4 linked regions of the Rhinolophus ferrumequinum genome follow. The protein of the gene in region 4 binds, or shares a complex with, the protein of the main gene of each other region. Links are inferred from orthologs where the notes say so. Each region holds a gene or a part of one and is shown on either strand. Other genes may lie near its edges. The genes, in order: IQCG, IQCD, TCTE1 and DRC1.

Evidence for each region.
Region 1: DRC1 (region 4) and IQCG share a complex: the UniProt entries of both Homo sapiens proteins name them as parts of the nexin-dynein regulatory complex. The link is inferred for Rhinolophus ferrumequinum from reciprocal best matches to the Homo sapiens genes DRC1 and DRC9.
Region 2: DRC1 (region 4) and IQCD share a complex: the UniProt entries of both Homo sapiens proteins name them as parts of the nexin-dynein regulatory complex. The link is inferred for Rhinolophus ferrumequinum from reciprocal best matches to the Homo sapiens genes DRC1 and DRC10.
Region 3: DRC1 (region 4) and TCTE1 share a complex: the UniProt entries of both Homo sapiens proteins name them as parts of the nexin-dynein regulatory complex. The link is inferred for Rhinolophus ferrumequinum from reciprocal best matches to the Homo sapiens genes DRC1 and DRC5.

What each region holds. Positions count from the first base shown.
Region 1 is NC_046285.1:50,083,947-50,090,845, reverse strand, and holds the start of IQCG (dynein regulatory complex protein 9), read right to left. Parts: upstream 3,009-6,899; 5' UTR 2,848-3,008; intron 1-2,847. Other genes in the region: RPL35A (60S ribosomal protein L35a), read left to right, coding at 3,970-3,980, 4,171-4,323, 5,410-5,554. UniProt on the Homo sapiens protein: Component of the nexin-dynein regulatory complex (N-DRC), a key regulator of ciliary/flagellar motility which maintains the alignment and integrity of the distal axoneme and regulates microtubule sliding in motile axonemes.
Region 2 is NC_046308.1:8,016,884-8,024,893, forward strand, and holds the start of IQCD (dynein regulatory complex protein 10), read right to left. Parts: upstream 3,012-8,010; 5' UTR 2,901-3,011; intron 1-2,900. Other genes in the region: TPCN1 (two pore channel protein 1), read left to right, coding at 3,353-3,509, 6,025-6,264. UniProt on the Homo sapiens protein: Component of the nexin-dynein regulatory complex (N-DRC), a key regulator of ciliary/flagellar motility which maintains the alignment and integrity of the distal axoneme and regulates microtubule sliding in motile axonemes.
Region 3 is NC_046286.1:13,516,760-13,524,236, forward strand, and holds the start of TCTE1 (dynein regulatory complex subunit 5), read right to left. Parts: upstream 3,015-7,477; 5' UTR 2,880-3,014; intron 2,341-2,879; exon of another isoform or gene 2,284-2,340; intron 66-2,283; exon of another isoform or gene 1-65. Other genes in the region: AARS2 (alanine--tRNA ligase, mitochondrial), read right to left, coding at 5,503-5,667, 6,088-6,198, 6,311-6,394, 6,925-7,035, 7,286-7,408. UniProt on the Homo sapiens protein: Component of the nexin-dynein regulatory complex (N-DRC) a key regulator of ciliary/flagellar motility which maintains the alignment and integrity of the distal axoneme and regulates microtubule sliding in motile axonemes.
Region 4 is NC_046296.1:54,081,039-54,088,731, reverse strand, and holds the start of DRC1 (dynein regulatory complex protein 1), read left to right. Parts: upstream 1-4,691; 5' UTR 4,692-4,779; coding exon 4,780-4,934; intron 4,935-6,789; coding exon 6,790-6,877; intron 6,878-7,693. UniProt on the Homo sapiens protein: Component of the nexin-dynein regulatory complex (N-DRC) a key regulator of ciliary/flagellar motility which maintains the alignment and integrity of the distal axoneme and regulates microtubule sliding in motile axonemes.

The sequences.
Region 1 (6,899 bases), on a different chromosome or scaffold from region 4:
TTATCTGGAAAATCAGTTTAATACAGTTATCAAGATGTTACCCCTTCTTGGTAAACCAAAGTCCTTTCTGCTTAAAAGAGTTTTAAATTCTCCATGGAGAATTTTGCTCTATACTGAATGAATAGTGAATGGTGAGTTTCCAGTGTGATTTTGTTCACAATAAAGTGATCCTGAGAGGAGTGGTACAAATATGCCTCACACAACAAAAATCTCACATGCAAAAATTCAAACATATAAAACAATCTTTATGTAATAAACTGAGAAAAACATACTCCAAACTAGCCAAATTTTCTGGTGCCAGGACAGCCTTAGGAAGTAGCATGGTGTTAAGGTTTTGTTCTTTTGTTGTGTTATTTTAACATTTTTTCGGCTTGGGGCATAGGTCAATATACTTCACATAGGTAAGACAGGGCTATGCTTATGTAGTATCCAGTGCTTTTGTGCTGTTCTAGCTTCTCATTCTTCAACACTAGAAACCCAGGAATCATTCCTGCTTCTTCCTTCATCTTGCCATTACCAATCACAGCTCTTTCAAAACAATTTGTGTAATCCCTCTGGGTACCCCCCTTTTTCTGTTTTTACAAACTCTGTCTCTTTCTTTCCCCCTCAGAACACAGTTGGGGTTTCCAACAAAATCTGTGTCTCCTGGATTGCAATTCCTAAAAAAGACCCCCAAATAAAGCTTTTAATTGCCTTGCAGTTCTTGGTCAAAACTGAATCATGCTCCCTTTCAACTCAGGGTTTTTGCATATGCTATTCCTTTAACTGGAACTGTTCCTCTCCCTTCTTTACCTTGTAAAGTCCCACTGATCCATCAGGTAGCAGCTTAAATCAGTGGCATTTTGCTAGGTATCTGCTATGTGCCCTTCTAGATCCAATCTCCACCATTTTCTGTGCCGTGAGAGACTGATCCATATGGAGTGCATCAATGGGAGATTCCAAAAGAGATCCAAAGTGTAGGATTGTGAGGTTAGGTGGTGATACCCCTGCCAGATCACCACTGGTTGGCAATGTTTCTCTGTCAAAGGCCATGCATGGGTTCTGTCAGGCAATCCTCTCCATATTGCTCTCTCTTGGGAGTTCAGGTAACTTCTTTCCCATGTGCCTGGAAACGGCATCATCCCTTATAGTTTCACTTGTGCCTATACTTTTGTAAGCAGACTCCTTATTAAATTCTCCTCAACTCTGCCAACTGTTTCCTTCCAGGGCAACACTGATACAATGACCTACAATGACATGTATACATTTTTATATGTAGTGTGTGTGTGTGTATATACACACACACACGTATATATATACATATATATGTATATATGTAAATATACATGCAAATAACAAGTTTCATAAAACAATTTATAACATGTGATACGTTCTGATATTTTCAATTCTATCATGTTTTGCTTAGAAAGTTTTATAACCATGATCTAATGTACCATAACCTCCAGTTTGGAAAATGTCTTAAATGATACTTCTGCCAAGTGACACTATCCCTGACTCATTAGGCTGGATCAGGATCTCTCTGTTCAAGCATTCATTGCACTTGTATTTTCCTGCATAATTTGTAATGTTTATGTCAATTTCCCCCACTAGACTGTTAAGTTCCATGAAATCAGGAACCATGACAATGCTCGCTATTGTATCCTAAGTTTCAGGCACTATTCTCAGTAAGTATGTGTAGAATGGATGAATGAATGAACAAAGGAATAAAATTCAATGTGTTATTCCTCTCAGGAGTACTTATCTTTGGATTTCTATAACAGTACATTTAACAGTGAGATTGTGAGTACATTCTCTAATATTGGGATTTCTGGTATATTTCTGGGACACAGAAAATTGGATAGGGAGAGTGGGCTATAAAGGTACATAAATTCTATCTTGATGTATTTATAAGACGATCTAATTTTAAATGATTTATATACACCTATTTTATGAAACTTTGAAGTCATCCTTTTCTCTCTCTCATTCCTCATCTATCAGCAAATCCTGTCAGTGTTACATTCAAAATATATTCAGAATTCCAGTACTCATCACTTCTGTCTACATGCCATAATCTCTCATTAGGATCATCACAATAGCTTCCGAATCGATCTCCCAGATGGTGCCCTTATTTCCCTTCAGTCTCAACACAGTGACCCTGTTAAAATGGAAGTCAGATTGAGCAGCTCCTCTATACAGAAATCTCAAATGGCTTCCCATCCCATCCTTTACAGTCCTCCGAGCTTAATTTTTCTCCATAAAGAATATGTTTCTCACATCACCTTCTAATGTGCCATACATTTTACTTGCTTATTGTCTTTCTCCCCCCTACCAGGATGTAAGTTCTACGAGGGTCAAGTTCTGTTGTTTTGTTCAGTGTCCTCCGAATCAAGAACAAAACTTGGTATGTAGGAGTCACTCAATAAACTGTTGAATAAATGAATGAATCCATAGGGTAACCCAAATAAATGTGCAATAATTAGGAAATATAAATCTCTGACGTCCATTAACTTATCTTATGCTAGTATTCAAGTAATTACTGAAGACGTGAACGTGTGGGCATGGTGCTGGGCGCCCAGACCGTTAGCCTGACAGTTTACCTTATTCCCCTAAAAGGGAGTAAGGTCTTTTCAGGGCAGTCCTCCTTACCCTCGGGGTCAAATCAAAGGATGGAGGTAAGAATGTAACTCATTTCTGGAAAGAGATAAAGGAGCAGAAGGAGGGAAGGAGTAAGGTAAAGAGAAGGGCTCCTCCTGCCTTTGTGCTCCCGGCCTTTCTCTTCCAGGATAGGATCCGAGAGTCTCCGTTGGCCTACTCCTGTCTAGTAAGAGGGAAAGCTACCCCTACATTGGCGAATCAAATCTGAGGTACCTCAAGCGGCGCTATGTCCTCCCGTCCGGCTTCACTTTTTCCACCTACAACCGGAGCTCGCAGGAACCACGCTAAGATGTTTCTATGGCAACGGTCAGCTTTGAGGGACTTTTTGCTTCTCTTTTAGTTGGCTACTACTTTGCCTTCCTCTATTCTAAAAAATAATACATGTTGCAGCTTGCAAAAATGGAAGGACTTAAGGGAAGAATTTTAAGAGTGTTGTTAAATGTGGCTTGTTTCAGTCAGAAGACGATTTCTGAGGCTTTTTTTTTGGCGGTCGCGGAAGATGCCTAAACTGGAGGCGAGGTGAAAGTATTTTTCCCACAAGGCTACGCGGCGGGGCTTCGCCTTCCTTTTTCCGCCATTTTGGCGCCTGGGGAGGTGAGTGGTTTTCGTGCTGCTGAAATTTGGGGGTAAATAACTGGAGTGCGTTCAACCACATATGTCTCTGAGCCACTGTTGCGGCTCGGAGGCACTGCCAGCCACTGATTTCTATGGATTCCAGCAATAGGGAGGACAGGATGGAGGAGATATGGGACTGATGGTGCTGGTCCCCTGACGTCCGGAGAGCGGGTGCTCCCGTAATCAGAATTGCTTCTTCTGGGCCGTAACGGAGTGAAACAGATGCACTTCGTCTGCATTTACCTTTTTGAGGCAGTGGCTCTTTTAGGATGGATTTTTTCCAGTTGCTCCCATTCCAGTCTTGGCTTTTGCTTGCTTACAGTTTCTTCGGTTTTCTTTCCCATTTATTGCTAAAGAGTTGTTTTCTGCATGTTTCTCTGACTCCTTGATCTTCCTTCTGATCATGGCATGAATTTTCTTAGAACTTCCTTTGGAGTTTCTTTGGGTTATTTTAGTGTAGAGTCTTGACACTTATTTTCAAGTTTACTTAGCTATTAGGCATTCTTTGGGGTTGGGATGTCGTGCCAGACTGCGCTTCATGTATTTATGGCATAGTTACGTTTCCACACTCAGCGTGAAATGCCGATCAAAAAGGAATTTAACGTAACACGTTTAAGAGACGAGAGGGGACCAGGTGGGGAGTATGCGTTACGAGATTTTAAACTGATTTTTTTGTTTATTTTAAGGCCTGCTGGGAACAGGACTTCTAAAACGACAAATATGTCTGGAAGGTACTGCTTTTCATTGTTTTGTACTCGAAGTTTTTTGTTCAGCATGAATCTAAAGGCGAGTTTAAAACTAGTGGGAGAAATTAGGTAACTTTTGGGTGAGGGTCGTTACAAGTCATATTATACTGGACGTTTGAACTTAAAGGAGATATTAACAACAGCTTATGGTTAATATATACTTTGTGTGTTTTAGGTTGTGGTCCAAAGCCATTTTTGCTGGCTATAAGCGGGGTCTCCGGAACCAGAGAGAGCACACAGCTCTTCTTAAAATTGAAGGTGTTTATGCTCGAGATGAAACTGAATTCTATCTAGGCAAGAGATGTGCGTATGTGTACAAGGCAAAGAAGTAAGTTTATAGTATTATACTTTTTGCATTTTTATTTGATCTGTGTCATTTTCCTATTCAAAGAGGAATAAAAAGATGTTGGTAAAGTAATTGGTACTGTTGTGCCTTCTACTTTGGGATTTTAAGGAACTTCATGGGATGGGAGGTTACAGAAGGATGTTATTTTGTGGATGATGTTGGGTACAGCTGTTAAATGTTTCAAGAAAGGAGCCAACTCCTTGTATGATTTAAAAATTTTACAGAGTACTTTACATGTTCCTTAATTCATTTCGTTGATTCCTTGAAATTATGTTTTATATGTATACTTAAAGATGTTCCTAGAGCATTGGTTCTTAATCCTTGGTTCTTAAACCCATTCCAGACCAATTAAAATCTCTGGGGACATGCCTTCATCTTTGCCCCCTTTTCCTTCTACAGCCAGAGCTCTTTAAAATTATGTCAGGTCATCGCTGCATTGCTCAAATTCCAACTGATCCTCATCTCATTTAGTAAAAGCTAAAGTCGTTAAAGATCTTATGCATTCAAGGCTCCCAATTTCTACTCTTAATCCAGCTAGGATTTAACTCTTGATATCTATTTCCTGCCTTTCCACAAGCCAGGGACACAAACCACAGGTTTTAAACACAGGCTGTTCCCTTATCTTCCAGTCTTTGCTCAGTGTTACCTTCTCAGTGAGGCCTTTCTTTGCTATTTAAAATTTGCAAACACAAATATTCTCAAACTTCTTATCTCCCATTGTTTTTTATTATTATTATTATATATTGCAGTTATTACCATCTGACAATCTATACATTTTACTTAACATATAACTGAAGGCTATATTTACATAGTTATCCTCTGAAAGTTTTGTTTTGTAAATGGCTCTATTTTACAAAGTTTTTAAAAATTACATTTATAAACGTGGCATATAGTTGATACTCAAGTATTTGTTGAATGAATGATGGCCCAGGCTTATTTTCAAGTTTCTCATGTCACTAAGTGGTTAACTAGGCTCAAGAGCCACTGTCTAGATGTCATTTTGAATTTGTACCACACTGTAGTGGTTGCCTGAGTTCTCATTCCTCTTTTATTCCCTTTTAAAATCAGTAACACAGTTACTCCTGGTGGCAAACCGAACAAAACCAGAGTAATCTGGGGAAAGGTAACTCGTGCTCATGGAAACAGTGGTATGGTTCGTGCCAAATTCCGAAGCAACCTTCCTGCTAAAGCCATAGGACACAGAATCCGTGTAGTAAGTCCAATTATTAGCAATATGACACTCCGTTGAGTCAAACTAAGCTCAAGGCTTGGGCTTTGACTTCTAAGAACTATTGTGATTATAAAATGTCATTAATAGATTATGCTACAAAATTCGTGGCTACTGTGTAAAATGTAGAACATCAGATCTTGGCATTAGAAGGAAAATGAAGGCAAAATATGCAAGTGGATTGTGCCTAGATTTCAGATTTTGCTAAAGCTGCGGTGAGGGGAAAAGCATTTAAATGAACATTTTTCTGGCAAAGATATTTATTGGACACTGAAGTAATTGCTAGAAAATAAAAATTCAATTTTTCCTGGCATAATTTTTTTTTTAAATTATAAAGTTTATTGGGGTGACAGTAGTTAGTAAAGGTACATAGATTTCAGGTGTACAATTCTGTAATACATTATCTATATCTCACATTGTATGTTCACCACCTAGAGTCAGTTCTGTTTCCATCACCATGTATTAGACCCTGTTTACCCTCTTCTAGAGCCCCCCTCCCTTTTTTAAAGATTTTATTGGGGAAGGGGAATAGGACTTTATTGTGGAACAGTGTTTTTTTCCCAGGACCCATCAGCTCCAAGTCCGTTTGACGTTTTCAATCTAGTTGTGGGGGAGGGGGGCACAGCCCATCATCCCACGCGGAAGTCAAACTGGAAGTCAAACCGGCAGCCTTCTTGTTGAGAGCATGCGCTCTAACCAACTGCCATCCAGCTGCCCGGGAGATCAGTGGCAGCTTGTCTTCAATCTAGTTGTGGAGCGCGCAGCTCACTGGCCCATGTGGGAATCGAACCTGCAACCCTGTTGCTTGGAGCTCGGGCTCTAACCAACTGAGCTATCTGGCTGCCCCTTCCTGGCATAATTCTTAGTATTTTTCCCATGTTTTCATCATGACAGTCTCGTTAGAGTAGGTGTTATTGGCCTTATTTTGTAGAAGAAAACTGATGCTCATGTTTTTGGGTCCCAGGATTTGGGCCCAAGTCTTTGAATCCAGATCTCATGATTTTCCTAAAATAGCTCCTGTTTTCTTTAGTTAGGCTCCATTTTTAATAGATTTGGCCACAGTGTTGGGGTCCCAGGGTACTTTTGAACCCTGCTAAGCAGTTGAGTTGTCTCATCAGGAAGTTTTTTACACTGTCATTAGAAGTAGCAAAATTAAATGGACTTTCAATGCTCCCATATTGGTTCTTAATCAAAGCGTGTTCACCTAGAAACTGAAGGCTATAAAAACTTGGTTCCCTCCCCACCGGGATATAAGTCATCATTGGATGCATTTCAGAGATGAATAATGGGATTGATCCATATTGTGGTATTTAGTAACATTGGTAAATTT
Region 2 (8,010 bases), on a different chromosome or scaffold from region 4:
TGGAACCACTTTTTACTATTTCTGTTTTTAATTTTTCTGGTTTCTATATTATTCATGTTTTTCTGTTAGTGACGGAGGAGAACAGAGATCCACCAAACTCCTCAGCATTTTCCAGTTTCCTCCTTACAAGTAAGTTCATCATGATTTTTAATTCCTCTTTTGGTTACAGTGTAGCTTTAGAAGAGTTTATTTCTGGTTACATCCAATGGTAGTAATGGATTTAGAATTTTTCTCACATAAACTTCCCTTACTTAAAAATATATTTAAATTATAACCTTATAAAATGCAAGACACTGGCTTTTCCTGGCTGACAGGTTATGTTGAAACCAAGGGTTGTGGTCCTTAGTGAGTGAAATCAATTTGCCAGTTAAAAATAAATGAAAGCGAATAGAAAACATTAAAGTGCGTTGCGTGTAGTAAGTATTCATTTGTAATTAAACACGTGTCTGCTGCGTGGAGAAGGAAAATGTATTTCTTTGTCTGGTTTGTGGTTAAAAAACCAACCTGTGTTGGAAAGCATGTCAAAGCTGTTACATTGGTCGTAGGATATAACCCGCTGCTATTATTTGAGAGCTAAGGTCAAAGAGATACTTTTTGCTGATGCTCCGTATTTCAAACGATCTTGGTTTTTAATCACTTTTGCTTTCAATTCCACCAAGTAGGGCCTGCAGGGAAAAGGTGTATATGTGTGTGTGTGTGTGTGTGTGTGTGTGTGTGTGTGTGTGTGTGATTTGCCTTGCATAAAAATGCCAGTCTAGAACAGGGTTTCTCAACTGCCACACTATTGACATTTTGGGTCAAATGATTCTTTGTTGTGAGGGCTGTCCTGTGCATTGTAGGATTTAGCAGCGTTCCTATTCACCTACTGGATGGCCATAGCATCATCCTTTTACTACGAGTAGCTGATCAGTTGAAGATAGAATGTATCCAGATATTGCCAAATACCCCTCCGGGGTAGGAGGGTGCCCCTGGTTGTGAACCACTGGTCAAGACCACAATGGCCTTGCTCTGCTAGAAAACTCCTGGACTCCCCATCCCAAGTCCAGTGCTCCATCCAGCTTCAATGGAAGGCTTGTCTAAGTCTGGTCCAGCTCTATGGGACAAGCTGCCATCTGTGCCACCTAAAGCCACCATCAGTTACAGGATCAAGAACAGGTTCACAAGGTGGTGTTAGGAGCCCTGGGTGCATGACTCGCCCCTGCCAGAGGCTCAGGGAATAAGTGTGGGCAAATCCCTTATCTCTGTGGCACTTGGGGATAAAACACCTGTCCTAGCCACATCAAAGGGAGCTGGGTGGAGGAGGGATGATTTGCTAGATCCCTTTGGAGAGTTAAAAGCCCTCTTCAAAGGGAAGTATTATAATATGTTCAGGCATGAATCAGGTGGTACATCAGCCTCATTGCCCCCAAGCTCTTCTCTCCCGGGGGAAAAAGGAAAGCGCATGGGGAAACCTAGCAATTGACTCCCCCCTTAATTTAATTTTCACTGCAAACCAAATGAGAACCCCAAGTTAAAACCCCAGCATTTTCATCTGCCCATGTAGACCTGGAGTGTGTTCCCAAGAGTACCCTCACCCCGAGCCAGGGCAGAGCTCTGTCTGGGATGTCCTGGGCAACCCGCGGAGCCTGGAGCCAGGAGACTGATACGAAGACTCTGCAGCCCTTGTTACAGCTCCTGTCAGTCAAAAGGCTGTTTGGGGCTTTCTGGATGGAGGGTGAAGTCTGGGAAAAGGCATGGTGGGCTAGATTCTTGCTTTCCGCTAACAACATTTTATATTCAGACAAGGCATAAACAGTGACCTCAGAACTCAGCCCTTCTCACTCTTGCCTTTCCCACCATTTTCACTCCTTGGCCGTTTGTCCTGTCCTGTCTGGGTTATCCCAGTTATGAATCCCACTTCCTCTTGATCACTTTACAGGGGGACCAGGAAATAAGAAAGTCTCCCGGATTTGATCGATTAGAAAATTCAGCCATCACAACCTTCCCTCATTGCTTTTCGAGGAGAGGGTTTGTTGACCTCCTTACTCCATCCTTCTGGAAGGGAATCACTGCAGATGTACTTTTAATTTACCTGTATGTTATATTTGATTCATGTCTCTCTCTCACATGAGACAAGTTCCAGGAGGGGAGGAATGACGTTGGTTGTACGGATTGCTCCACCCCAGCATCTCGTAGTAAGTACTACTCAGCAAATACTTGTTGAATAAATGAATATTCAAGATATGGAAAGAGATAACTCTGTTGTTGGAGCTATTTTAAGCAGGCAGAGTCAAGGATGCATGTGTTCTAGGGGAAAAGCTGCTATGTACTGAGCACTTACTATGTTCCTCCGTTCCATGCCAAGCTCTTCATTGCTTCACCTCGTTTAATCCTCACGCAAACCCTGTGTCTTACATTTGTAAACGACATCATTTTAAGGACTGGGGTGGGAGTTAAGTTTCAAAGTTAGCACAAAAGGCAAAAATTGGCATAATCAAAATGACCTAATTTAAACATTCACTCAAGTGAGATGCCTTTCATTGAATACTCACCCTGGAATCCATGGCCATTGGGTGGAATGGAAGGGGACTTACAAACTATCCTCTCACCCCCAGCACCTATATTTGACTTGAAATTAGTTAACTCTGGTGTGACTCCATTTGACTCCACGTTTTATGGATGAGAAAGCGGGGCCATGAAGATGATAAGCGGAGGCGTAGAGTACATCGAAGATGTCCACTGGTCCTTGCAGGCGGTCGAGGGGGAGGTCGAGGGGGAGGCAGGGTCTGGAGAGCAGGATCCTGGGGCGGGGACGGGATCGCAGTGGGGGCTATTGATTCCTCAGGGAGCCAAAGACAGTGAGCTGGTCCCCATTCCACATCTCCCCTTCATCCCCAGCCTTTCCCAACCTGGTCACTCACCTGCTCCAAGTGCTCCAGCTTTCTGTATTCACAGTTACCACCTCTGTACCTGCGTTGCTAGGTTACCCGCCAAACTCAGAAGGAGGGACCAGGCGTCTGACTGATTTTTCTTTTTCACCATTTAATAACTCGTTCGGCTCAGTTCGTCCCACCTTCTGAGGTCTGACCAATCAGGGGCACTGTCTCTCTGACCCTCCACCAATTGAAAGACTCTGGGTTGGGCAGAACTAGTAAGGATGGGAGAATGGGAGGGGGAAAGGGGCGGAGCTTCTTAGTCCCGCCCCTGCTTTGGAAGGCGGGCAGGGAATCTTGCATCGGCAGCGGGCGGGAACTGGGGAAGGACGTGAGGCTTGGCCAATCAGAGCTCATCATAGCAACCCAGGGAGCCAATAGGTTTCAGCGAAGAGGGAATGAGGCGGGGCCGGGGAGGTTCAGGGGACAGTAGGCGGTGGATGGGAGAGCTGGCGCAGCTGCCGTGGTGGCAGCAGCTGAAGTGGCGGCGGCGGCGGCTGCAACAGCTCCCGGCTTGGGGCTTTGGCGGCGACGCCGGCAGGCTGGGCTGCACGGTGCTGAGCCCGGCGCGCGGTCCGGTTTGCTGGGGCGGCGCGTGTAAGAATCCGAGGGGTGCGAGGGACGGCTTGACGGAGGGGGCAGGGGGCAGGGGTCAGAGGGCGCGAAGTAAAGGGTTGCCGCTGGGTACTTGGGTGTGGGAGGTGGTCAGGGCGGGCCCAGAGGGACAGCGAGGAAGTCATGGCTGGATTCTCTTCCTCCAGCCCAAGCCGGGGTTTTGCACCCTCTCTGTTTTTCCCCGGCTTCCTGGGGCGACCCCCACGCGGGGGCCCACACCAGGGCTGGGAGCACGTGGAGCTGGAGCCCGCACTCCTCTTGTATTCACCCTCCTTCCTCCACTGCTCGTCGCCCTGGTGCCCTCGGATGACCCCGAAAGAGACTCGTTCCCGGTCAGGCTGCCCGAGTGGACAGGCTGCTGGCCCTTTCCTGGACTTGTCCCCAGTGGTCACCCATCCCTTTTGGGTCCTCTATAGAACGGACGCAAAGCCCGTGGAAGGAGCACTGAGCTAGGACTCAGGAGCCCTGCACTCGGTGACCTTGGGCAGGTCCTTTACCCCCCTCGGGCCTCACTTTTCCCTCTAAAGTGATGGGTTTGAATAAATTCAGATTATGGAACTGGTTCTGAGCGGAGGCATAGGATAATGGTTAAGCGGCGGCGAGGCAGGGGGATCCCTAAATTCAGACTGCCTAGGTTGAAATCTGGCTCTACCACTTCCCTGCTGTTTACTTATAAGAGACAGGTTAAGTTAACTGCTCTATGCCTCAGTTTCCTCATCTGTGAAGTGGGGGTTTCTCAACAGCAGCACTATTGACATTTTGAATCATTTATTTCTTTGTTGCTGCGGGTCTCACCTGCTTATTATAGGATGTCTAGTGGCATTCCTGGCCTCTATCTTCTAGCGCTCCCACGCCCCAAATTGTGACAATCAAAAATGTCTCCATGCAGTGCTAGTGTCCCCTGGGGGGTGGGAGGCAAAATAACCCCAGCTGAGAGCCAGAGAACTAAGAATGCATGCAAGCAAGCAGTCATATATTATTAAACAGTTAAAATCCACTAGCTACTATGATAATAATAAGATTACGAAACCTTGATGAGTTGAAAGGGAGAGGAGATTCTCCTGCCTTCAAAGTAAGTACAGGACAATGGCAAAATGTTGATCTTTGTCAAAGATGGGTGGTAGGTACAAGGAAGTTCATTTACATAGTCTCTACTTTTGAGTATGTTTGAAAATACCTGTGGTGAAAAAGCTAAACCAAAAAAAAATAAAACCTATAATTCTTAAGACAGCCAAATGGTAGTGTTTCATTTGAGAGTTCCTCTTCTGTCCCTCCACTACTGAGATTTAAAAGCAAAAGAAATCCCCAGATCTGGAGAAAACAACAACAAAAATCTCACAGGAAGTTTGCTGGGAAGAGAGCTACAGGCTTAGTTAGTAGAACAGTGCTCACTTTTGCTGCCTCGTTTTAAGAAGATATTGTCACACAGGAACCATTATTCTAATGGTTCGTGAAAGAAGTAAATGGGGGGGTTGTCATTCAGTGGGTTAGTCTGGAGGCAAAGTTGAGTGAGCCCAGAAGGCCACAGCTTGAGGAAGCAACCTGCTGTTGTTTTCAAGTTCAAAGGTCTGCCGGCAGATCTGCTGAGTCTTTGCTTTTCTGTTGGTCCTCCCCAGCGGAAATGGGATTGTGTATAAATAGGAGCTGTAACAGGCTAGTTCTGAGTGTTTTAAATTGGGAGCTCAGGATGAGTGCTTTTGCTGTGTGACTCTGGACATCATTTAAAAAAGTACTCTAGTCTTCCCTTTCCTCCTCCTAAACCTAAATCTAGGAGAATAAAGCCTATATAAGGGTGCTTTGGGCCCGTATAGGCGACCTGACATGCTAATTCTTTGCAGGTCATTGATATTTAGGTGCTGCCTAAATACCAGGTTTGGGACTTGGAGAAATTGTAGTGTCCTGGCTAGGAGCACAGGGAGTCAGATTGCAAAGTTTAAAAGTTTGGTTTTCTAGTTGTGGGTTCTTGGGGAAGTTACTTAACCTCTCTGAGCCCGAAGTCTCCCCCTCTATAATGGAGGCTGATAATCCTACCTATCTATTAGGAAGTTTCAGTCAGCTTTATTTAAAAATTGCTAGAACAGTCCCTGGTATGTAGTAAGCACTCACTGAGTATTAACTGCTATTATTTTAATGGTTGTATATTTTTAAGTCTTTAAAGTCTTTAAAAAAACACATACACAAAGAATGACAGAAAAGGGTGGCGGTGGAACATATTAGTCATTATCTCAGTCTCCAGACATAATTACCATTAACTTTTCAGTACGTGTTCTTGCAGAGGTTAGTTTCCTCATTTTTTAATGCTATTATTCTGCAATACTTTTCTTTTTTTTGAGATATCATTCACACCATATAACCCAGCCATTTTAAAGGGTACAATTCAGTGGTTTTTAGTCTATTTGCAAGATTAAGCAACCATCGCCTCTGTCTAATTCCAGAACATTTTAATGTTGTATTTTAATAACTGTCTTTCTTTTTTTTATCCCCCGAACCCTAGAAGATGCCTCAAATGGAGGAGTTTCTGAGAAGCACTTCTGGGCCAGTGGCTTTGAAAGGGAGCTCAAAGCAGACGCTATTTACAGCTCTAGACATCGCATCCTGAGGGCTGCAGGAGAGGAGAATATGGCCGTGGCCATGAGTTTAGATGACGACGTTCCCCTCATCCTGACCTTGGATGAATGTGGGGCTGCCCCACTGGCTCCCTCCAACGGCCTGGGCCAAGAGGAGCTGCCTAGCAGAAGTAAGATGGTAGGCTGGGCTGGGGGTGGAGGGCGGGGGGCGACTTCAGGCTGTGAGTTGTGGGCTTGGTGGTCTAATAGTAAAAGCTTGTACCCAAATGCCTGACCTTGCATTTGGCCTCCAAGATCGGACACAGAAACTACTGGGAGATTCTGGGGTCCTAATCCTATACCCCCAACTTAGGAATGCTTCCAGGGGCCCGCACCCCCCTTAGCGCCTTGCCTCCCTTGCATCTTCAGGCGCCTTGGTTTTGCCCATGGATGCTTGCTGGGGACCTAGGCACACCTGCTCCTTGGCTAGCTTCCCTGCCCCCATTCCTTGTTAAAAAAAGCAACAGATTTCAACACCAGCCTCCGTCTGTCCCAATCTGAAACCGTTGGCAGAAACGCAGGGGTGACTGCTTCTCCACACTGGGGCTCTAGCTGTGGGTCCTACCTTGTCCAGGACAGGATGGAAGGTGACAGGCATTTGTCGTGATCTATTGATTTGAGGGTTTGAGGTTTTTACTTTCTCTTCCTCTAAACCATAGCCTCGCACAAAGTGAACCCAAGAGAGGGCGTGAGCTTTAAATTTTTTAAAGTTTAAGTGTGTTTCTGGCAGAATGAGAGGTCTTAAAAACCTTTCTGGGTCTTGTCCCAAAGCCATTTGCTTCATTTGCTCAGGCCTTGGGTCCAGGGGAGGCTTAAAATAACCTGCCTTTTACAGAGGGTCCTATGACATTTAGGGACTGACGCTTGAGGGTCTCCTTAGCAGATAGATGTTTCTCCTGGCAGCCACGCCCCTGAGCCAGGACAGAGGGGCATCGCTCTTCTCCAGGTCGCAAGTGAAGACACTTTGGTTCAGGGAACGATAAGCCTGGCCCTCCCATGTCCTTTGTCCAGAGAGAACAGAGTTGTGTTGTGGAGCTCAGTAGACTCTCCTTGGAAGTGATGAAGTGTTCCTGTGCGTGGGAGTGCAGCGGGAGGTCTGGCTCCCTATAAACTTGCTTCAACGTGTTCACCACACCATCTAGGGTGGCAGAACTGGGTGGTCCACGAAGGTCAGAATGTAAATAAGACTTTTCCCTACGAGCTGTGCGGGGCTGAGAAAGCAGTGACTCTGGTTTCAGGCACACTTCTTAATGCCCAAGCTTAGTATTAGGCTCTTTCTTATCTTTTATCTTAACTAAGATCCTTTTGCAAGGTAGGCAGAATTATCAGGGCTTTACAGAGGAGGAGACAGTGAGTCAGAGAGGCTAAGTAACTTGTCTGAGGTCACACAGCCAGCCGGTGGTAGAGTACAGATTTGAACCCAGGACTGTGAGTCCAAAGTTCCTTCCCCTCCTCCCTTTTATCCTCTCCTCCTGCTCCTCCCACTCCTTTTCCTCCTTCTCCATTTTTCTTCGTAAGCCCTTCATAAATGTGAGCACGGGTTCTTAGGGTTTACATATATTATCTCATCATATAATCTCAAACTAGAGTAATTGTCATTATCTGTATTTTACAGAGGCAGAAACAGCCTCAGAGAGGTTAAGTAACTTGTCCAAGGTTACACAACTAGTAAGCAGCAATGCTTATCTGGTCTTTCCTCTCACGTTACTGTGTAAGGTGCTTTGGGGAAAGGGGTATAAATGAATGTGACAGTCTCAGTTTTGGAGTAGGACACCCCCTAGTGAGGGGGGCGGCCTGTCCATGGCCAACAAAGGAATAGACTGTAAGGAACGGTGGTTGACATACTAAGGGTGTGGATCATTCTGGAAATGGCCTCA
Region 3 (7,477 bases), on a different chromosome or scaffold from region 4:
CTGGCCTGGGCATCACCAGTCTTCAGCTGAGAGTGGTAGTAGGTGGCAAAATCCTTCCTGGAAGCCTGCAGGGATGGGTAGACATACATTATCCAGGGGCCTCACCCATACAGCCCCCAAGGGCCCATAGAGGGCAGCCCCAGAAGTGGCAGAGCCGTCGCCTTCCGCTCTGGAGCCTTCTCTCCCTGGGGAACGCACTGGGCAGTCAGAGAATCCCAGAATTTGAAGGCTGGAAGCACGTTCAGGACTCTAGTCCTTCGGGGCAGGAATCCTCCCTGACATTCCAGGGAGAAGGTTGGGGCCAACGGCAGTGAGTGCCTCTCCTGCCACCACCTGGTGTCCTCATCTAAGGGGGACATGCTCTGAGATGGGGGAGAGGGGCATGCTCAGTGACCTTTCATCGCCTGGCACCTGTCTCATGGGCCTGTTGAGCTTCACATGCTATGTCTCCAGCATGAGGCCAATCTACCCCAGGACCACAATCCCGGGGGGAAGGCCAATCCTCCTCCCCTCCAGGTCCCCACCCTGAGTCCTCAGGACCAGGGTCCAGGGTCCTGAAGTCAGATTCAGGCCACACCTCAAAGGATTAGGTCTTAAGGTCTGCTCTCTACATGCCCTGCACAGGTAATATAAAGTGATAAGATGCTCCCAGTTTGGCCAGGATTGTCCTTAGTTTTGATGGCTTGTGTCCGGTGGACACAAGTATTCTGGGAACCATATCCTTGGACAAGTATCCGTGGACAAGTGTTCTGGGAACCATATCCTTGCCTAGATAGAGCTGCAATTTATTGACTTCTAGGCCCTTTGTTGCATGTGCACAGCACGAGGCAGTGTAGCAGCTGGCTCAGGACCCGGGAGTTACGCTGCCTGAGGTCGAATCTCCATTCTGCTCCCTAGCATCTGAGAGACCCCATCAGATTTAACCCCAGTAAGCCTCCATTTCTTAATGGTACCTACTTCATAGGATTATCTAGAGGATTAAGGAGCTAATGTGTGTGAGACATTTCATATAGTGCTGGGCGCAGAGCCAGCACTCAAGATACGGGTCCGATCTTGTATGAAGACGTTAGATGCCTGACCTTCCTACGTTTATTAAATCTTCAGATTTATTGTGGAGGATTATTATTGTTGTTTTAACACTATTATCCCCATCTCACAAATAAGGAAAGCTTCAGTACCGGTAACTTGCTAAGTGTCACATAGCTAGTAAGTGGATAAGCTGAGGTTTCAGCGGATGTCTGTTCGAAGTCCTCTCTTACTTCTGTGCACAAAAGCATGAGAACTAGTGAGATGTTGGGGTTGCTGCCTAAATGCCCCAGGCTCGTTGTTCACAACACTTTCCCCGTGGACCTCTCAATTTCTCCAGCTCATGAGCGCTCTCGTCTCATCACCAGTGTGGAGCCTGGCGGTCCCCGTTTGGTGCTGACCTAAACAATCCAGTCTCCCTTACCCCCTAAATCACTGCCAGGTACAGGGTCCTTCCACAGACCTGGATTGCGGCCTGTATCCTTCTGCGCGAGGCCCCATGGGACCCAGGAGAATCCTGCAGAGCTGTGCTCTCCTGCCCCACATCTCACACTGCCCTCCCTGTTCCTCACAGACCTAGGATTCAATGCTTGAATCTCTTACACATTCCGTCCTCTCAGAGGAGGTCTCAGACCTTTTGCATCCTCCTCAAGTTCCCAGGTAACCGCTTTGGGCAGAGGCTCCTCCCACCTGCCCAAATGGGAAAGTTGAAGATGCTGGAGGAAGCCCTCTCCCCTTTTTGCTCATCACACCCCTGGTCCTCAGTTGTCCTCACCTCCCTCTTCTGAACCGAGAAGCTGAAGCCTCGGGCCTTCTTTAGGCCCACCAGCACCTCTGCCCCTGGACACAACCATGGGCTACCTGGCACAGCGCCCCCCAGCGCCCCAGCACTCCACCCACTTCTCTGGTGCTTCCCACGCCTTCTCAGCCAGCCTCTCCTTCATCTCGGGCATCTGTCCTCAGGGCCTTGGGCTTCTGTCTACATTTCTCTGATCTCTTTCATGCCCATCATGTCAGATCCTACCTCAGGCCAGGTCACTACCAAGTTCCCATTTGGGAATTCCCCATTTGTGGAATCATAAAAGAAGGAAAAAAAAGTTTCTCTGTCGGGGTCCAGGCCCAGCCTGCTTGGTCACTGGGGAGTGAAACAAACACCCTGCTCAGGGCCCTGGGCCTGGCCCTCCTCCCACTCCTGTCCACTTAAGTCTGTTGTCTTAAAAAGGACCGGCGGCTTTTCTCTTCACCCCTCATCCCTACCTTCAGCTCAGACACCCCAGCGGGGAAGCTCATCTCCAAAGGCCAGCGAGTCCCTCCCCCAACCCGCCTAGGGTGATGAGGCCCGAGCTTCTCCTCGGTAACCAAGGGAAACCAGCCCCACTGTGGGAGGGAAAAAGGTGCGGAAGCTTCTGGACCTGCAGGAGGGTGCAGCCCGCAGGAGCTGGGGTGGGGGGTGGGGGATCAGCCTTCCTGAGAAGACTGGGTCCCCGGGCTTAGGGCTGCTCTCCTCCACGACCTACCCTACGGGACGCCCCACATTTCTCTTCCTCCTTCTTAAGGTCCCCTCTCCACCCTCCCGCCTCCCCTTACTCGCAAACCCAAGCCTCTGGGCCAGTTTGCAGACAGTGACTGTGGCAGGAGAGGAGGCACAGGTCTGGCTCAAATGTGTGGGGGTGGAGGACCTTCCGCAGGTACTACCCCGCCATGCGAAATGTGGGAGCCAAGACTGGGGCCATCTGCGGGCTTCAGGCCGGGTGAGCTGAGGGCACCCCGCGGGCGAGAGTGGGGGCAGGGAGAGTTCAGCCCGATAGTGGAGAACCAGAGTTGAGTGTTCTCTCTCCCCGAGGTCACCTCACCCGCTCCGGGTACCCAGGCACTTTTCTTCCGGAAGGGCCCCCGCGCAGCCAGCACCGGTCGTTAGCGACGCCCGGCGTCTCCAGGGGGCGGGTTCGAGGGCCAGTGTGCACATGCGCGTGTCCGCTTGTGTGCTTGCACCAGGTCTAGGTCGGGTGCGGTGCAGGCGCGCAGGGCTGTCCTTCGGCCGTTGTCACTACGAGCCTTGGCAAGGGGTTGACGCGAGGAAATTTGTCTCATGCGCTGTGCCGGGCCGCTGTGCGGGCTGTGGGAACTCTGTGGCATGAGGCGTTCTTTGGGCTTCTGGGGGACGTTTATGAACGGGCTTTTGTGGGGGAAGTTGAGGAATGGGGGACTCGGGTAGGACTCCTGGAGTGCCGTTCCTTCTTGGTACATTTTGTTGGAAATGGGAGTGTTAGGAAGATCTGGGAGAAGCATCAACAGTCTCTTCTGGAAGTTACTGGAACTCCCGAGGCCTCCCGTTGCCAGGAGGCGCTGCAGGAGAGCTGTGGGCTGCAGCATCCCTGCAGAGGAGCAACTTCCACCTTTCTCTAAGATGTAAACAAGGCTGATGTGTGGCCCCAGGTAGGAAGGGTCCAGCCTCCACAGCACTCCTTCACTCAGTCCTAAGCCTGATGCCCCCAACACAGCCCTGGATGACAGGATGTGGTGCCCCCTACCCCCCAACCTTGGGTGACAGGACATGGTTGGTGCCCCTGAGGGCATGGCTGACCAACTTCAAGGGGTTGGCTAAGAAGCAGCAGAAATTGCCCTTCAGGAGGAGAAAGGCAACCAGAGTGGTGGCAAGTTTCACAGAGGCAGAACTTAGCTTTAAGCTCCGCCAATGATGATTACGTATTTTTGATCTGTGGCTGGGAATCCACATATGCAGGGGGCTGATTTGTTATTCGTGGATTTCAACTGCAAGGATGGTTGGCTCCTCTAACTCCGCTCCCTGCACTGCTCAGGGTCAGCTCTACCACCATGTTTCCCGGAAAATAAGACCTAACTGAAAAATAAGTCCTAGCGTGATTTTTCAGGAGGACATCCCCTGAACATAAGCCCTAATGCATCTTTTGGAGCAAAAATTAATATAAGACCCAGTCTTATTTTCGGAGAAACATGGTAGTTGGTTACCCTGGATAAGGTAGCATCTCAGCAGCTCAGTTAACGCATCAGTAAATGGGAGTATAACTTCTCACCATAGTGTCCACGTGTAAAGAGCCGGGCCCTGTAAAGCGCCAGGCCCTTGGTGAGCTGCAGTTACCAAGATCTTGAGGTAAAGCTTTGCAAATTCCACAGAGCTGAGCAAGCAGTCAGGGCCAGGCACCAGGGATTCGGGTCCCTCTCAAGCCGTCATCAGTGATTTACCAATATACCGCAGGTGCCTCAATCAGAATGAGAAATGGTGCAGGAAATGAAGCCAGGAGGACCTGCTCTACTCTAATAATTTTAAGTAAACGGCCCCAGAACTTAATAGCCAGGAGCCTTTGACTTCAAGATGAGTCCATGAGGTCCTTTCCTTTATGTAGCAACAGAGATTTGGGAATAGAGGTGGAGCTCCGGCATCTGGATAGGTCCTGGTAGGGAAGGAGGGCTGCCCTCTATCCTTCAGCTTCCTCCTGCTCTGAGCTGCCGATTTTCAGCTTCAGCTCAGGCGTAGGGCAGGTGCTGTGCAAAAAGTCGCCCTGGTTCCTGCTCTTTGAGCCCATGAGCTGCCATCTCCCAGCTCACTGTGCCTGGTCTTCTCCCCCTAAGGGCCTCTGCACTGGCTGTTCCCTGTCTGGACAGCTCTTCCCTCAGAAAACCATGTGGCTCACACCCTCCCCTCAGGTGCCGCCTCAGTGAGGCAATGCCACCACCCCACCCACCCGATCCCCAGGCTGCTCTTTCTCCATAGACATCACCTCTGACACCCTCTTCTCTGTATTGCCTGTTTCCTCACTAGATGTAAGCTCCACAAGGGCAGGAAGTTTTGTCTGTTTGGTTCTTGCCACATTCTCAGCAACTGACCGGTACCTGTTTCTCATTCTATCAACAAATCACCAGGGCGTTCATTAAGACAAGTCATTGTTAAAGAAATAAGTGACACCAGAGAGGGTCTGCCCTGCTGTAATGACTTCTACACGACAGTTCTGGATCTTGGTGGCCAGGGATGGCCCTGTGGGTGCCCAGAACGGGCTGGCATAGAGCGCCTGACCGAGCGCTCTTGGTCCTGATGTGGTACTGGGTGGCCTTTCAGCCCAGTGTGAGGGGTCAGACTGGTGATGGGGCCCCCATACCAGGTTGCTGGGAGGGGGAAGTCTGCTCTTTTTTTAAGCAAAAGAACCTTCTGGAACTGCCTTTCCTCTGTGAAACTTTTTAATGAGCAATCACAGCCAGGACAGCCCGTGTTTTCACTTTCACCTAGTGTGGGTGTGTCTCTGGGCCGACTTCTGCCTTCACCAGCCCACATCTCCTTGTGTCCACGTTTGCGTCCGAGCAGCCCAGCGTGGCCCTCTTCAGCTCAGGTGCTTGGTCTCAGCCTCCAGTCCTCTACTTCAGCCTCGGGGAGCTTCTGCTGATTCCCCAGGGCTCCTGGCACTGGCCTATCTGCTGTCTCTTTAGTCTGTATGAGTCCCTGGGTCAGAGCTGGTTGAGGGCATAGGCTCGGGCCGTACGGAGGGCAGCTTCCAGGTCAGCAGTGCTTCCGGTGCCCTGGGCCACCACTTGAGAGCCCCAGGCTTTGCCCCCCATGTGGCTGCACACGGCCAGTGCCCAGGCCTCTGCTGTGAGGGTCGGCGTAGCACTCTGTACAGAAACAGAAGGGGCAGCAATGCAGAGCAGCCCTTTGTGCGACTGTCCATTCAATGTACCCTCGAGAGTGGCATCGTGGGGATTAGCAACCCCTCCCTTGCCGGGCACACGGTGACGCCCCTGGGTGGAGACAGGCGAGGGGTGCGCTGGGGTGTGTGCGGAGGCTGGTGAATGTCTGCTACTTGTTTGCAGGGATGTGCAGCCTGGAGGGGGGGGGTAGTAATTAGGGAATCTCAGGGTTCCCTCTCCGGTGGTTGGGGACAAGAAGATGGCCCTATCCCCGTTCTGGGGTGTCCTCATAGATCACCTCTACCCAGCCTTGGCTCCCTTGTCTGGGAGGAATAAAAGGCGTGGAATTAGGGGGCTGGACCAGGAGATGGGCAGGAGTGGGGGCGGCTCTCCCACGTCCCTCACCTGGGCCACCTGACAGGCACATAGCACATGTCCCATGGGCTGGGGGCTGAGTAGTAGCACGGACGTGCTGGGCGCCTGCTCACACAGCTGCCGGACCACCTTCACCAGCACCTGAGTAAGGGAGGGCAGGTGGTGACCCCATAGGCCCCAGGTTCCCAGCTACCTCCCTGTCAGGACTCCCCTTCCCAGACCCTGGGGACACCCCCCAACTCCAATAACTCACTGAGAGCGACTCAGTGGAAACTGTGTCCACAATCAGGGGCTCCTCTGAGTGCCGCTGCAGCAGCTCCTGGGTTTTCTGTGCAGCCTGTGGGGCAGGAAGGAGAGTGGGTGGGTCAGGCTAGAGGGCAACTGGCCCCCACTTCTGACCTGAGGCCCAGTCCAGAAATCCCCTCCTTCCCCCTGGCAAAGGTCTTCAACTTTGAGCAGAGGGGCCAGGAGTTCTGCCTAGAATGACCTCCTTCTTTTGGGTCCCACTTATGTCCCTCCTCTCCTCCCTCACCTGTGTCCTTTCATCTTAGCTCCAGGACCCTACAAATAGGTTGCTGAAGGTGAAAGGACTAAGGCTGGAGCACTGATGGATGAGAGGGGGCAGGAGGAAGGAGGATGAAAGTCAAGGAGTAATTAGGGCCGAAGGGAGTCACCACGTCAACCAGCTTCCTGGAGGAAGAGCCTGAGGCAGACTTGGGAGTTGGGGAGACAATTTGGCAGAGAGAAGTAGGGACGCCAGGTGACGGCATCCAGCTGGCAGGAGAGGGCCTTGCCTTGAGGCTTCTCGGTGTGTGCACTAGTGTCTCTGACCCACGTTGGGTGTGCCTGCTATCTGCCCCCTCCTACCTGCCCCATTTCCAGCTTCCGGATGGCAGTGTTGGCACGCCGCTGCAGCACCTTCAGTGTGGCCTGCAGCTCCCGCCGCTGCCACTGGGGCATCACAGCGGTGTCCACAGCCTGTGGCCAGAAGCAGTCCATCACCTTTGCCCTCCCCCCAAACCACAGCCTCTGCAGGGACCAGCAGGGTCAGGGAAGAGACCATCCCCACCATCCTGCCCTGCAGACAAATGACAAGTAGCTGGCCAGCTGGGGCCCCACAGGAATGCTGGGGAGAGACTGGAAGCATCCAAGGAGGCACGGGGAGGGGCACAGAGCCAGGAGATGGGGGTGGGGTGGGGGCGCAGCTCCATGTTGGGGTGGCCCTCACATCAGTGAGTCGTCCCATGTCCTTGGACAGCCGCCGAGCCTCCACCACGTCCCGGCTGCCCCGACTCAGCCGCTCTGCAGCTGCTTCCACCTCCTGGGCCAGGCTCTGGCCCACCTCTCGGGCCTGTAGGGAGGGAACAGGATGGTCAGGGCTGCTCAGCTTACTTTCGGGGCTCTCACACCACTGTTGCTT
Region 4 (7,693 bases):
TCATTGATGTCTTTAGAGCAAAACATTAAATAGGATTTTTTGTTTTGTTTTTTAAGAAAGATCAGCCTTGTTTGCTCCTGGGTGTTCTATAATCCTGTGACTAGTTTCAAAAAGCATAGTTACTAGGCAGTTGGCAGTAGCAACTGTTCATAATGTACTGTTCTTGATTCCCCCAGAAATGGGTACTGGGCAATATATAATAATACCTGGGTCACATTGAAATTAGTTTGTAAGGTAGTTGTTTCATACTCAAAACATTTTCCCATAGAGTGTTAATGTATGGTGTTAATTTTCCAGGCTAATTCCAAGAACCTAATAACCCACACTTAGTACCCCAAAACTATAGTATATGAACGATAAGCTCTTATAAAAACTTTGTTTTTCTAGCATTGCTTTTGAGGAGAATATTTTTTTACATCCTGTTTTTTACATCAGAATTTATTCTTCAGTTCTGGCAATGGGCATTTAAAAAAATCGTAATGGGTTTGAAGAAGGTGAAGGAAGAAATGTCCCAATATGAACCCAGGCTAATTATCCAGCTGTGTGCTCTTAATCCCCTGCCCTCCCAACTTCTTGGTTGCCCTCACAGTTACCTTTCCTTCTATCTGCACATTTCAAATGTGTAGCAAGTACCTGACACACCAGAGGTATGTGCTAGGTCACCACACTTGGGTTTCAATCTAAATTTTAAAGGACCTGGTGCTGCCACCGTGTCTTGTTCCTCTTCTGCTCTCATCCTTTTCCCTCTGATCACAAATTTCCTGAAAGAAAACTTCCTAACTGCTTTCATTTTTCTTCTTGTTTTCATTTTGAGTTTCTCAAGGCCACCCAAACTTTTAATACAACTTTTTTTAAAAAATAAATTTTATTGGGGAAATATGGGGGAACAGTGCGCCTCTCCCAGGCCCATCAGCTCCAAGTCACCGGACCTCAATCTAGCTGTGGAGGGCGCAGCTCAGCTCCAAGTCCAGTCCTCAATCTCCAGGTACAGGGGGCGCAGCCCACCATCCCATGCGGGAATTGAACCAGCAACCTTGTTGTTAAGAGCTTTCACTCCAACCACCTGAGCCATCTGACCATCCCTCTGGAAGCTCAGTGGCAGTTCATTGTCTTCAATCTAGTTGTGGAGGGCGCAGCTCACTGGCCCATGTGGGCATCGAACCGGCAACCCTGCTGCTCAGAGCTTGTGCTCCAACCAACTGAGCCATTCGGCCTCCCCAACAACTGTTTTTTTAACTTATGTTCAACTTTGCAAGCTTTGACTCGGGGCAAGTTACTTATTTTTTTCTAAGCCTCAGTTTCTTCATCTGTAAAATGGGATTAGTATCACCACAGTTACGTGTTATGAATAATGCATGTAGTGTGTTTAGCACTGAGTGGTCTCAGGGAGGTGCTTGATTTCTACTAATACCTAGTTCTCAAGTTTTTTACCTTTGATGTTTTCCCTAAGCCATATGACCTACTCATGACTTCCCTTCCTCCTTTCATACCTTTTGTAGGCAATACATAAAGATGATGATGAGACAGTTCTAAAAATAACTAGAAATGAAGAAAACAAGATTGCCTTCTGAGAATCTATTAGTATAATTCATATCAAATGGGAGATAGGGGTAAACCAAGAAATTATGTAAATGTTTGATGAATCCCCAAATCCCAATTAAGGTGATTCGGTGTGACCTTATGGATGTAGAATTAAGACGTGTGTGACTTAGTATGCCAAAATTTAACCAACATAATTCTTTTTCGGGAAGAAGACTAAGCTGAAGTGAATGACCAGCCTGTAGCATAGCAAAGGAAGCCCATATATCCAGGTTTTGCTTTTGTCACCCAAAACTTCCCCAGGGATGAGGGTGCCATGCCCCAAGGACTTGACCTGTTCAGTCTTTGTGGCAAGTTGTTCCCATCGTGGGCTCCTGAGTCCATTGTATATCATCAAGAAACTTCCCAGTTATAGTTTGATTCCCTTTGTAGGTCAGACACGTAGATGTGCTGGTCACCAGTCATAAAACACACACATGCCCTGTGTGTCAGTTGTAGTTTTTTTGCTCAGATTAGTGTATTCTCTATATGTTTTTCTTTTTTGAGCTTATTAGTGTAAGTCAGTTCTCAAAAGCAAGTCTGCTTTTGGAATATGGGCTACCAGTTGAGGACCAGACTCCAGGGGCCAGTGAATTCTCCTATGTCCCTCCCCCAAAAACCTCTCATCTGTGAGCCCTACTCTTGCTCACTACAGTCTCTTCAGGATCTCCTGTTACCACTCTTTAAAAAAAAAAAAAAATTAAATGAAAAAATAAACTTTATTTTTTGTTACATGAAAAATGATTTGTGTTCTTTGTAAATTTTTTTAGAGAATTAAAAATCATCCATAGACCTAACCCCCAGAGATATCAACTACTTTGTGTTTTTCCCTCATTTTTCTTGTGTACATACTACATATATTTTAAATAAAATTGGGATCATCCTCTACATATTGTGCTGCCTAATCTCTTCCTCTGTAATATATTTTGGATGTCTTTCTAGGTTAGATTTATAGTGGCTACATTGTTTCTCATCCCATGAATGCTTAATTAGTTCCCCTATTGATGGATTTTGGGTTACATCCATAATATTACAGATAACTGCAGTGAGCATACAAATAAATTGTACGTTTCATTAGAAAAATATTTGTTGAGCACTCATGTACATACCAGCTATTGTGCTAGGTGCTGTATGTAACAGTGCTGAATAAAATTGACGTAATTTTAACCCAATGGAGCTGTAGCCTAGACCCATTATCCCCAGGATAATTCTTTTAAGTAGAATTGCTTAGTCCATGCATATACTTAGTGAGAGGTATTGGCAAACTGTCCTAAAAGGTACCTACCAGCAGTGAATGAGTGTCTTTAAAGAGATTTATTACGTAATCAGGGCTGTCTGACCACAAGGAAGATCTCCCAGTTGGTTGGAAGATGGCTGGAGAGAGCCAGGAAAGGAGCCTGGCTCAGGGCTTTTATTGTGGTTAAGGGGTGGGGATGGATGCACACTGTTGGAACCTCCCGCCAGCCAGGGCCAAAGGAGAGAGCACCCAGGCTTTGTTTGTTTGTTTTTTAAAGTCAGCTGCCCAGATGTGGAGCAGAGGGAAAAAAAGCTGTGAAGCTTAAAGGCTGTCAGAAATCAAACAGCAAAAAAGGGAGTCAGATTCCTTATCTGTCTGGAGTGATGGTATCGGGGATACCTTGATGGCCAAGTATCTTATTGATCACTCTCCATCGCTTTTTATGGTACGTGTCCCATGTAACTGCTGATTCCCACTGACTTTCTCATGGCAGCCAACTCCCAGCCGTAGTCGTGCACACACACTTGGATTTGTTTCTCTTCTCAAGGTGGTGCAAACGTGGGCCAGGACCAGTAGGCTTCCTGGTCAGAGCACTACCTCTGATTCCATGGCCCCTAGGGAAGTTTAATACTTGAGGTTACAACTAAAGGGGAGAGAGATTTGACGGATCCCTAAAACCCCAAAGCAAACATACTACTACCCCCACTGCTCACCCCAAGATGTGGGACAAGGATTTGGGCAGCTGTTGGAACTCTTGGCTGTTCCAAGATTTTGGCACTTGCTCCAGAATTTTGGCACTCCTAAATCTATCACTTGTAGACTTGCAAAAAATCCAAAACACCAAAACTCTTTGCCTCTGGGGAGGTCTTACAAAGCGCTTGTCTTCTTTGGCCCCACAATTGCCTGAGTTGAGTAGGCCGAGAGTAGTACCATATGCCAGTTGGAAAAATGGTACTCACGTGGTTGGGACTTATCCAAGGCTGCAGGGCAGGTCTAGGACTAGGACCCGCATTTTCTCACTACTCCAGAGCCCTTTCCCCAGTTTCCCACAGGTCAATGGAACAAGACCCTGTCAAATATCCAGTTTGTTTTTTTTTAAAGGGCTTTAACTCTCAAGAAGAATACTATTTTTGTTGACAACGAGACAAAAAAACACCCAGGAAATAGGGCTTTTTCAAGGGACAATGCTTCCTTGAGGGTTTAATTGTGCTTCTGTACCCTGTTATTTCTCCCGGCCCCCCACGCCTCTGGGTACTATTTCCCTCTGCTCCCCCTTTCTTCTTTCTGTAAGTATGTGATTGAGGGTAGTGGTGGTAGAATTGTCCTAGGTTTTAGCCCTACTGAAAACGGCTACAGGAGACAACAATCCCTTGCTGGGTAAAAATTTATTGATAGCTGGGGGTTTCACGTTCTAGCGGAGAGAGGTGCTCCATGCACAAAGTAGGACCTCAAAAATGAATGGATGATGAATAGATGGATGCGATATACTTTAGTTCAAACTTTCCAAAGAGGCAGTAGGCTCGGAGCAGACCTATTCTGTACCATCCATGAGGAAAGGTCAACACCCATACCCTTAGCACAGCGCTTGGCACAGAGGTGCTCAATAATATCTGATGAACATGATTTTGAGGAATGTTCGTTTGATGAGTGAATGAACGATGAATTCATCATCTGTAAGCAATGAACCACAACTTGGTCCAGCTCTTTAGTCTTCCAGTCTCCGCTAATATGACCGGGCCTTCGTGGTGGCCCAGGACCGTGCACCCCAACTGCAGGAGAGAGCAATAAAGCCCAAAGCTGGGGCACCACGTTCTGAATGCCGGTGGGCGGGGCCTAAAGAACTGCGCGTACACTCACTTCCGCCGCGGGTCAGGTGACTGCTTTTCCCTAGTAACTGCTTGTTGCTAGCAACGCGGCGGCGGTCTGGCGGCGGTCCCCGCGGAGCTGCCTGGGGAGACACCGCTATGAATCCGCCCGGACCCCTGGGGGACCTGGAGGAGACAGAGGAGGAGCATTTATCCGCTTCGATTCTCCGGCCCTCGGTCCATTCTGATAACCCTCAGGAGCGGATCCAGGCCCGGCGTCTCCGCATAGCGGCGCGCCTGGAAGCCCGGAGGCGGTGAGCGGGGTGTGGGCGGGCCGGCCGCGGGACCCGGGAGCCCCGGAACCCCGGAGGTAGTGCGGGGCTGAGGGGAGCCGTTGACCGGCGCTGGAGCCCCTGAGGTGAGGGGCCGGAGTGCCCCAAGTGTGAGCGGGCCTTGTTTCTTAATGAGAGAGAAAACAGGTGCAAGCAAAGTAGGAGACACTAAAACATTTAACACTAGTAAAGTCAAAGGCGGAAATAATAATCCCTTCAGCACTTTTGTTGACTGCCTGCTGCACCAGGCACTGTGGCGAATACACTGAAATGCAGGCCATGCATGGCCTGTCCTCGGAGATGTCTCTCCTTCCTCCCAACCTGCCTTCCTCCACAAGTATTTACCCAGTGGACCTCAGCTATTATTTCTGGTTTCAGTGGCTTATCTGGTTGTGTGACACAAAGCCTCGCTCGTGAAGAGTCTGAGATGGAGAACCTTACCCCTCTCAGGCCAGGGCGTCCCGCGCCATCCATTCAGTCACAGTGGACTGGCTGTCCTCAGGGGTACCAGGAGGCACCTGTGTGACCCCCTGAATTCCTGAACGCCCTCGCTATGTAACAGCACTTACACCTTGTCCGGCTGGTCAGGGTCGGCTGCCCTACCGAGACGGTGGCTTCTCATCTGTGGCCATTGGACACACGGGGCCCAAAGTGGCCTGGCTGTGTTCCAACCAAACTTTACTTATGGACACTGACGTGTGAATTTCACGTAATGTTTATATGTCACAAAATGTTCTTTGTATTTTGATCTTTTTTCCTCTAAATTAATAAAATTCGTGTTTAGAGCTGTTGTAGGTTTACAGCAAAATCGAGTGGAAAGCGCAGAGGTTTCCCATATACCTCCTATCCCCCCCCCCCACACACAAATGCATAACCTTCCCCACCATCAACATCCCCACCAGAGTGGTACATTTGTTACAATTGATGAACCTCAGTGACACATCATTGTCACCCAAAGTCCATGTTGTTTCACTCTTGGTATTCTATGGATTTTGACAACTATATACTGACATGTATCCACTGTTAAGTATTGTACAGAATGGTTTTGCTGCCCTAAAAATCCTCTGTGCTCTGCCTGTTCATCCTGATCATATTTTTTTAACCATTTAAAAATGTAAAAATCATTCTTTGCTTGTGAGCCATACAACAACAGGTGGGTCAGATTTGTCACACAGGCTATAGTTTGCTAATCCTGATATGGTTTATCAGTGTGATGTTCTGTGAGATATCCAGATGGTCCGGATCTATTCAGACTATACTTTGACAGAGATCAGGAGAATGAACACGGCCCCGTGAGTGTGAGTAAATACTATTATCAACTTTTTAAATCTTTTCCAGTCTGATAGGAGGGTAATGATGCCTTATAGGGTTTTCACTTTCATTTTTCTGGTTATAGGTGAAGTTGAACATATTTTCAAATGTCTATTTGCCATTCGTATTTCTTCTGTAAATTGCCTGTTCACACTCTTTGCCACCTTTTCTATTTGGTATTTTGTCTTTTTTTGTATTGATTTGAAGGAGCCCTTTCTATTTTATAGAGAGCAAAATTTCATCAAATATCTTTTACTGGTTTCTCCCTTGACTTTCAAGAATAAAATCGAAAAATTTTAGGAAGTAAAATCATTCAATCTTTTTTCTCTCTCAAACTTTGGTCTTATTCTGAGATGGGCTCTCTCCTGTATTTACTTCTAGTGTTTTATGATTGTGTTTTTTTATATTTACATTGTTAACCATATGAAGTATATTTTTGTATGTGGTATGAAGTAGTACGGAAACTTTGAATATAGATTTTAAGTACTGAAAATAACTTCAGTTTCTCTACTGTTTTCCATCACAGGGAAGCGCTTGGAGACTATTTAGATGGAAAGAAAGAGAGTGAGGAAGATCAAAGCAAGAGCTATAAACAGAAAGAAGAAAGCAGACTGGTATGAACTGGGTAGCAAATGAGTCCTCTCAGGCCTGTGAGACTAGAGAGCTGGGTGTGATGCCATGGTTTTCGTATTTAGACTAGAAGAAACTCAGTAGAGATCAAGTCTCAATAGAGATTCTATTTCTGTCTCTTGGCAGAACTGAGTTTGAACGTTCCCCATTTGGGGAGCTCTCTAGGACTGAGCTTTCATAGTATAATTTCTTATGTGATGCTGTGTCTTCTTTGCTCCCACACTTTTAATGGTATTTATTCACAGGATAAAGTCCAAATGATTTAGCTTGACATTCAAGGCCTTTTGTAGTCTGTCTACATTTGAACTCTCCAATCTTTTCTCCCATTATCACCGAATTTGGGCCTCCACTTTGGCTAGGCCCATCCAGTTACTCACCTCCAGTGGGGCGTGCTTCTTCCTGCTTTGTTCCTTTGACCATCTGGAATACCAAGCTCCTCTCCTCCCCTTTTCCTCCCTTCTCTCCTTTACTCTTTCTTCTCTCCTGACATCAGGTTACCTTCCCACACTTTAAGACCATCTAAGTTCCAACCCTTCCATGAGTTCCTCCGCAGCCCAGGCTGAACTTTAATTCACACATTGAGCCCTTTTTGTCTATGGAATTCATTTCATCTTGGATAATTTTCTGCCTTGTATGACTTTTCCAATGTGTGTGCACACGATGTCCCCAATGAAATTATAAGCTCTGTGAGAGCGAGAGCCTGTTTGTGTGCCTGTGGAGTAGTGCATAACTTAACAAACACGAAAAAGAAAATCGATTGTCTCCCATGGCAATGACAGGGCTCCTGGGATATTTAATAA